2 linked regions of the Caenorhabditis elegans genome follow. The protein of the gene in region 2 interacts with the protein of the main gene of each other region in a pairwise test. Each region holds a gene or a part of one and is shown on either strand. Other genes may lie near its edges.

The links.
Region 1: the proteins of neg-1 (region 2) and sygl-1 interact in a two-hybrid assay, tested with the Caenorhabditis elegans proteins (one large-scale study listed by BioGRID).

What each region holds. Positions count from the first base shown.
Region 1 is NC_003279.8:12,481,716-12,486,921, reverse strand, and holds sygl-1 (Ecdysone-induced protein 74EF), read right to left. Parts: upstream 3,114-5,206; 5' UTR 3,011-3,113; intron 2,742-3,010; 5' UTR 2,706-2,741; coding exon 2,523-2,705; intron 1,876-2,522; coding exon 1,597-1,875; intron 924-1,596; coding exon 765-923; 3' UTR 687-764; downstream 1-686.
Region 2 is NC_003283.11:4,373,116-4,376,715, reverse strand, and holds neg-1 (Negative Effect on Gut development), read left to right. Parts: upstream 1-1,841; 5' UTR 1,842-1,869; coding exon 1,870-1,896; intron 1,897-1,948; coding exon 1,949-2,044; intron 2,045-2,278; coding exon 2,279-2,377; intron 2,378-2,427; coding exon 2,428-2,535; intron 2,536-2,589; coding exon 2,590-2,790; 3' UTR 2,791-2,954; downstream 2,955-3,600. Other genes in the region: F32D1.8 (BSD domain-containing protein), read left to right, coding at 1-19; F32D1.7 (Protein lilliputian), read left to right, coding at 549-1,089, 1,168-1,440, 1,487-1,578; fipp-1 (Pre-mRNA polyadenylation factor Fip1 domain-containing protein), read right to left, coding at 3,064-3,600.

The sequences.
Region 1 (5,206 bases), on a different chromosome or scaffold from region 2:
CCGGCCGGAAATTGTGGGTTTTGGATGGAAACAAAAGGGAATAAATGGGAGAAATAAACTAAAATAGGTAGAAATTAAGAAAAAAGATTTTAAATTTAATAAAAATGCTTGAATTCCAAAAATCTCTCTTGAAAATTGATTTTTTTTCTTTATTAATCGCTTAAAATTCAATTTTCCTACTAGAAAAATTAAAAAAAAAATACACAGAAAAGAAAGGAAATCGTCTAGAAAGTGGTAAAAAACAGTAATTTCAACCGAAAATCGATTATTACAGCACTTTTGTGTCCGATTGGCGCAGTGAGATTCTCGTCGCCCACCAATCACAAGACCGGGGTTCAAGCTCGCGCTGTGGCAAAAATTTTTTTCAGCTTTTCATTCGATTTGCCATAACTAGTAAAGTACTTCCCGAGTCGAAAACCTATTTTTTCGAAAAATTTCAGAAAAAAAACACAATTTTTTACTTATAAAACGTTTATTTTCGCAAGCACGGAGGGTTGGAGATGGGAGGAGCTTGTAATAAATTAGAATAATTAGGAGGAATTGGGGGGAGCTGAAACAGAAGTTGGGGTAAGAATGATGGGATTGAACAAAGAATTATTAGAAAAATGAGAGATAAAGGGGTGGGGCTAGAAATAGGGGGGCGGAGTTTATTACACAGAAAGAAAACCAAAAAAATTGATAATTCTTATTAGTTAAAGAATTAGGCGTGGGGTGGGATTTTAGGGGGGGGGGGGGATTAGAAAATTTAAAAGAGCAAGTACGCTCTACTGCAAATAATAGCTGTTGGAGCCCATCATCAGTGAAGTGTTGTTGTTCGGTAACTGTGGAGACCAAATCGGATGCGAGTGAAGCATGTCGAGCTCGTGAAACTGATGATGATGGTCGAGAGCCGATTGGTAGCTGAGCGACGAGTTGAAGAGACTCTGAAAATGGAGGGAAATTTGAATTTTTTAATTGAAAAAATAAAAAAAAGCTACTGAAAACTGCTTTTTGAACACTTGAAACTATGAAAAAAGCATTAAAATTTAGATTTCTGGCAGTTTGCAGCAAAATGTCCAAATGGCGCAGTGGGATTTTCGTCGGCTTCCAATCTCAAGACCGGGGTTCGACTCCCCGTCGTATCAAAATTTTTTGTTTCGTTGCGATTAGGTTTTACAGTGTGCTCAGATGTCATGGGGAATCGGTATTAATCGAAAATTTAGGGATTTTCGAAGTTTTTCAAATTTTTTCCCATGTTTTCCGCGAGGAAAAATAAATTTATCAAAGATTTTCGAGCTCAGGACACTAAAATTAACCTAATCGCACTTCGAAAAAAAAAGTTGCCACAGTGGGGACACGAACCCGGGTCTTAAAATTGGCAGGCACATGGGAAATCCCACTGCGCCATATGGACATTTTTCGCAGAAATCTGGATTTTTGGAAAGAGAAACCGGAATTTGATGAGAAAAATTGTTGAAGGCTGATTTTTAAGTAGTTTAAAGATGAAAAAGTTCACTTTTAGTGGAAAAATTGAGCAAAAAAAAAAAAGTCAATTTTGGTTCAAAATTTCCGTTTTTTTTTCTGGATTTTCTCAAATTTGAAATTTTTTAAATTTACCGAAAAAACGTCGCAATTCTCCTGATCGACGAGCGAGTCAGTCTCGTAACCGGACGAGGACGGAGATCCCGGGCGGCGCGTCAAAGAGCTCAGGCTCAGATGGTGGTGGTGATGGTGCTCCGACGAAGAATGCACCGAATCGAGATGATGATTCGCCGTTGGCTTACGATACTTCAGGTTGGTCACCACATTCTTCTCGCTACGATCCTTCTTCTTCAACTCCAACAGGGTCACCGGAACCGGGACACCGCCGGAAATCACCGAAGATTGGCTTGATTCCTGAAAAAATCGATAATTTTTAATGGAAAAATCGAACCCAGAGCTATTTGTTTGGCTTAAAAATCGATAACTTCCGCTATTTTGAGGATTTTTCAAAAAAGTGCCCAAATGGCTCAGTGGGATTTTCGTCGGCTGCCACTGCCACGAGACCGGGGTTCGAGTCCCCACTGTGGCAAAATCTTTTTGTTTTTTGAAGCATTGTTCTAAAAGGGCTTGGGACTGCGAAAATCAGGCTTTAAGCCGAAAATTCGGTTAAAAAAGCTCAAAAATTACATTTTTTGAGTAAAAACTGGGAAAAATCTGAAATTTCAGTCAAATTTTTGATGTCCGCATGTGTTAAAGCTTTCGCTTAAACAGCTTAAACAAAGCTTAAACAAAAAAAAAGTTGCCACAGTGGGGACTCGAACACTGTTCTTGTGATTGGTGGCAGGTTGTGGAAAATCCCACTACGCCACTCGACCAATTTTTCAAAATTAAGAGAAAATTATCGATTTTTGCGGGATTTTTGGGTTTTCGAGGGTGCTGAGCACGAATTTTCGGTTTTGAAAGCTTTTTTTAAACAGTTTTATTGGAAAAATCCAACTTTTTAAAGAGAAAAAATCAATTTTAGGGTTCAAAAAAATGATTTTTAAAACAAAAATCTATACCTTTGCCTTGATCTCCAAGTGTTGCACATAACCATTCGGTTGCTTTGGCTTCAACGTGAGAATCTGCTTGCGGACGCCTCCGGTTGACGATGATGACGTGGCGGTTGTCGATGACGTCAGAGACGATGAGGTGGACATGTTTCCGCGGTGATCCATGTAGAGTTTTGGATAATGGAATGGCATTATGCACGTGGCGTGATGACAATGGTTCGATGATCGCTGAAAAAAAGGAGAAAAATTAGAAAATCGGCGGGTAGATCAAAAAAAAAATTTTTTTTCGAAAATTTGTTTTAGTGATAAATAAATTTTGGGCATAATTTTTTTATTTTTTGAACAAAAACTTATTCAATTAAACTCTAACTCCATGGAAGTTATGCAAAAAATTTGAAAATTTCCGACAAAATTTAAAATTTAATCTAAAAGTCAATATTTTTCACTAAATTCTCAAGAAAACCAACAAAATTTGATAAAAAATCGAAAAAACTTACATTTTCGTCGAAAAATAAATGGAAATTGACCCATTTTTCTCCTCTTATATGCTAAAATCACCGTGGGAAAATTGGAAATTCCCACGGCAAAAGCGTGGGAAACTGTGCGCTTTCGCGTGGCGGTGTCACACAATGTATTGACTACAGTAGTCCTTTTAGTGGGAATTGCAAATTTTCGGGATCTTCTTCGCGAAAAAAGAAATCCACTGAAGACGCCACTGAGGAAATACTGAAATAAATTGGAAATACAAGATAAACAAGTAAAAACTACAGAAAAAACCTTGAAAATTCAAAGAAAATTGGTAATTATCGTCGAAAAAAACACAAATATTATTTTAAAAAAAGCCGGAAAAACTATTTTTCATTAAATTTCGGCAGAACACACTGCTAATAAAAAACATGCCAACATAATTTTATTGGACCCTTAATCTCTGAGAATCGACAGAAAACAGCGCAAATTCGAGAGATTTCGACTAACAACTCCGGAATTCAAAAATTATCGATTTTTTCAGAGGGAAATTTTCTTCAAATTCCGAAAAACAGACAAAATCGAAAACATGTCTCAAATCTACTAAAATCGATAAATTCTAAAAATTGGTGGCCTTAAGATTTCTAGGCCATCAACTTTAAACCCGTGTAACTCGCCTGAAAACCAGCCCTATCCTAATAATAGCAAAAAATTCAAATTTCCCCAAACTACACAAATCCTACAGTACTCTTACTAATAATACTAATAATACAGTATAACAAAGTACCTCTCCCTTATCACCCACCAACTCCCAACCTAATACCTCTTCAAATGGTAAAATTCAAAATTTCCAAACTAGGGTCACCTACTGAAAATGCAAAACGGACAAAATCACTAAATTGTGGTCTGTTTTTATAGATTTAAGCAAGATTTCAGCAAAGCGGCGACGACTCCTAGAAAAAAAGAAAAAAAGGGGAAATTAGGGGGAAAATAGGAGAAAATGAGGGAGAAAATACGGTTATGTTAACTGCGGTCAACGTACAGTGCTGGCCAAAAAGATATCCACTTTTGGTTTTTTGTGTGTAACTTTTTTCTCAAGCATCCATTTGACTTGAATTTTTCCGTGTGCATAAAGCGAAATGTTACGCAAATTTGCGGACCAAACATTACATGATTATCGATTTTTTCTGAATTTTATTTCAATTTTTTGATTTTTTCGTTTTTCCAATTTTCATTATTTTTTTTGAATTATCAATAAAACGCACTCTGTTTGTTGCTCTGGATTTGTTTGGTTGATAAATTATTTTTAAGGTATGGTAAAATCTGTTGGGTGTAAAAATCTTTCCTTGGACGTCAAGAAAGCCATTGTAGCTGGCTTCGAACAAGGAATACCCACGAAAATGCTCGCGCTGCAAATTCAACGTTCTCCGTCGACTATTTGGAAAGTAATCAAGAAGTACCAAACTGAGGTGAGTTCGAAAAATATTATTTTTTAATAATAAATGTTTAGAAATCCGTCGCTTTGAGAATCTCGCCCGGCAGGCCTCGAGTGACAACCCATAGGATGGATCGCAACATCCTCCGATCAGCAAGAGAAGATCCGCATAGGACCGCCACGGATATTCAAATGATTATAAGTTCTCCAAATGAACCTGTACCAAGTAAACGAACTGTTCGTCGACGTTTACAGCAAGCAGGACTACACGGACGAAAGCCAGTCAAGAAACCGTTCATCAGTAAGAAAAATCGCATGGCTCGAGTTGCGTGGGCAAAAGCGCATCTGGTCTGACGAAAGCAAGTTCAATTTGTTCGGGAGTGATGGAAATTCCTGGGTACGTCGTCCTGTTGGCTCTAGGTACTCTCCAAAGTATCAATGCCCAACCGTTAAGCATGGAGGTGGGAGCGTCATGGTGTGGGGGTGCTTCACCAGCACTTCCATGGGCCCACTAAGGAGAATCCAAAGCATTATGGATCGTTTTCAATACGAAAACATCTTGGAAACTACAATGCGACCCTGGGCACTTCAAAATGTGGGCCGTGGCTTCGTGTTTCAGCAGGATAACGATCCTAAGCATACTTCTCTTCATGTGCGTTCCTGGTTTCAACGTCGTCGTGTGCATTTGCTCGATTGGCCAAGTCAGTCTCCGGACTTGAATCCAATAGAGCATTTGTGGGAAGAGTTGGAAAGACGTCTTGGAGGTATTCGGGCTTCAAATGCAGATGCCAAA
Region 2 (3,600 bases):
TGCATACAACTGCAAGTAAATTGTGAGTTTTTCAGGATTGTGTGCACGTTTTTTTGTTAAAAACTTTAAATTTTTTTATAATTTCAGACTGGGTTAACAATTGCTAATTTTGTTTTGCCGTGCCAGGCCGTGTTAAGTGATCTCCCTATTTCATCACATCTGCTAATTTAGTTTTTGAATAGTTTTTTTGTTGTTCCCCATTTAATGTTATTTTCCCTTTAGTTTATAATTTTTAATAAGTTTTTAAAAATATTACAAAAATAAAATCAAAATAAGCCTAGAAATTTATGATCTACAGTAGTTTGTTGTGCAAAGTTGCTAGTGTGCCTGAGATTTTGAGATACTGTAGCTGGCTGCAAACTTTTAAATTTGAATTTTTGCGCGCGCGAATTTTCGGATTTTTAGTTATAACTAGTTTTTCCTTCGTTCTTATCGGTTTCTTTTGATTTTTCTTCGATTTTTCGGTTAAAAATCTTCAATTTTTCGGTTTAAAATGTCTCTTTCATGTTAAAATTAAAATATATTTATTAGTTTTGTTTCAGACCAGAATGGCCGACGAGGAGGATCCGTGCGGCGGTGGGAAGAAAAACCCTCGGAAACGATGCCAACCAGATGTGGATCCAGAAGAGGATAGTGAACCAGATTTGGACGGGCCACAGCCACCGTTTCGAGGACGCAGCAGCACTGTCACCGACGCCGTTCGACAAACGGCCATGGAATTTCGAAAGCGTGCACGAAGTGACGAATTCCGTCCGGCTCAGCAACCTGAACAGAGTGTCGTTGCCGTGAAGCCACCGACGACGTCGGCGCCAGTTACACCATTTCCTGCTAACCTTCCAGTCAGCGAGCAACTCGAAGACTTGAGTCTCCTGCCCGGTGTACGTAGAGTACGGCCACTTCCAAGAAGCAGATATCCGGTTGCAAATGATCCATTTGATAAATTCAGCGCGTATTCCGGTCCTGGCTCGAGTCAGCAAGCGGTTCCACGGACTATCAGCAAAATCAGTGAAGAATCTGGAAGTGGAAGTGGAAGTGGAAGTGGAAATGATAGTAGTGGAAGTAGTGGACCCACGAGGATGAGCGGTCAAGGTAAATATTTACGTAAATTCTATTTTTCCGGGGGTTTTAGAATTAATTTTCTTTTTCCAAAAAAAAAAAAAATTTCAGTTCCATCAACGTCCGGCCCACCACCACCACGACCACCGCCTGCTGGTCATCAAAATCCATTTCTGGGCAATCAACCGTCCACCTCAAACACGTCGGAGCCAAGCACATCCACGCAAGGCGTCTCCCCGTCTCGTACATCAAAAATTTCGAAAAAGAAGGCTCATCAGGCTGGGCTTCACTCGAAGGGCAGCTCTGAGGACTCTACCGACTCGGGAGAATCGAAACCATCGAGCAAGCAGCCACCGAAGAAGAGTCCAAAGTCCAACAAAAATGGTAAAGAAAATGGAAAAATGATATTTTTATCGCTGATTTTTTTCAGATCCAAACGCTCCTGGACCTTCGCGTAGACGTGATGACGACGACGATGGGGTGCAAGGTGGAAGCTCTGAAGGCTCATCTGAATCTCTTTAATTCTTGTATTTCTAACATTACATTCTTCTGTGCTATTCAACTTATTATTGTTTATTTTATTTTCTCTCATTCCTCACCGACTAAATGACATTCGTGTATATATAAACACTTCTGTGTGATTTTTTTTTCGTCGCTTGATTTCGCTGATTAAAGAATTTATTAATTTTCTTTTGACCTCAAGAGTTGTTGCTCTTTAAATTAATATCTTCAATTTTTGTGCCAAAATTTTGTTTTTGTTTTATGTAATGTAGCTCAATTTTCAGTGTGACCTTCTTCACCTCAGCAGCCATTATGTATTCTCATCCAGCACTGCTACAGGTGATTTCTCCTAGTTAGACCAATTTTTAAATTAAAAAATTGAAATTTACAGTTCCCTCTAATGTCCACCGACGCCTTCTACTCGACCGCTTTTCCAACAATCCCGGGAACTCCGAATCTTTTGGGATACACTGCGTACAGTCCACAGGTGCGCGGAAATCGCCGGCGAGCAATTCTAAAAAGCTTGTATTTCAGTAAAGCAATTGAAAAATTGCCTGAAAGTTAAAAAATTACAGGGTTTTTCGACACTTTCCGACAATATTTGAGCGTTTTCCAAGTGCTTCAGCTGAAATAAAAGCTATTTCCAGATAAACCAAATTTTTTTTTGTTCTTTCACTAAATTTGACTAGATTTTTTTCTTAATTTTAATATATTTTTCCAGTCGATCTTCAATGATTCCCGGCCGGCTTCTTCGGTAAATAACACTCCATCCACATCGTTCAATAGCTCAATTCATTCCAGAAATCGGTCGATTGCAATGGTTCGTTATAACAAATATTCGCTTTTTTACATTTCAATGCATATTTTCAGCTCCATTCAATATCGCACATCCTTTCCAATGACGACTCGCTGGGCTCGACAACGGAGAGCAGTACACCGAGCACGCCGGAAATTCATCCGAGCAATGCACCTGCAAAGGTTGGTTTCGACTCCTGGAAAGTTAAATTTTAGAAATATTATTTTTTTTTGCAGAAGACGATTCCACTTGTGTTGATATCGGATACCGATGAGGAATGTGACAAGAAAAGCAGAAAACGGAGGATTCGCTCGAAATCTTCGAAGAAGTCTCGCGGGATCCGTAAGAGCAGGAAACACGAAGCATCAGACTACCGAAAGAAGATTATGCTGGGAACTTTTGAAGGCAGAAAAATCGTGCTGAAGCTGATGAAATAATTTTAACACCCTCACCCCCTCATATGCATCCTACAAAGCTGAATAGTCGCTTATTTTTTATGTATATCGTTTATTTATTTTTAGTTTATTATTGACTCTGTTAACCCCAATATAAGCTGGATATTTATAGTTTAAACGTCAAATTCAAATAAAATTAACTTTTTAATGAAAAGAGATTTCTTTCGAGAAAGTTAAAATAAATAGGTGACAAACAAATGAAAAGAATACACTTGGAATGATAGAAAGCTAAAAATAATTAGAAAATATGAAAGATCATTCATCATCGGGAATCTCTTCCTTGACAACAACGCCCGTACTGGATTCCTCATCTTCGTGTCGAGATCTGGAGCTCTTCTCTTTTCTCTCTTTCCGACCGCTGCTGCTCTCCTCTTCCTCATCACCACGACGACTTCTCTTCTTCCGATCTTCATCATCTCCACGCCGTTCTCTCCGTTTCTCTCGTTCCCGATCATCTCGCTTTCTGCGCCGATCTCCAGACGCACTTCGGCTTCTATGTCTTCTGGAAGACGTGCGATCCGATTCTCGTTCTCCACGGCGTCTCGTCTCTCGATCTCTCCTGTCCCTGTCTCTATCTCTATGTGGGCTCCTTGATCGGGATCGCTTCCGTCGGGAGCTTCTTCTCTCCTCATCGTCATCACTAACCGTCGAAAATGCACCAGATCCCATGAGACTTCGCGGAGCTGAAGCAGCGCCAACTGGTCCAGGTCCGAAGCCAGCTCTCGAGTGTTGCTGAAATTGTGGAGGCGGCATCGCGAAACCGGGCGGTGGCAGGCTCGTTGACATCATGCC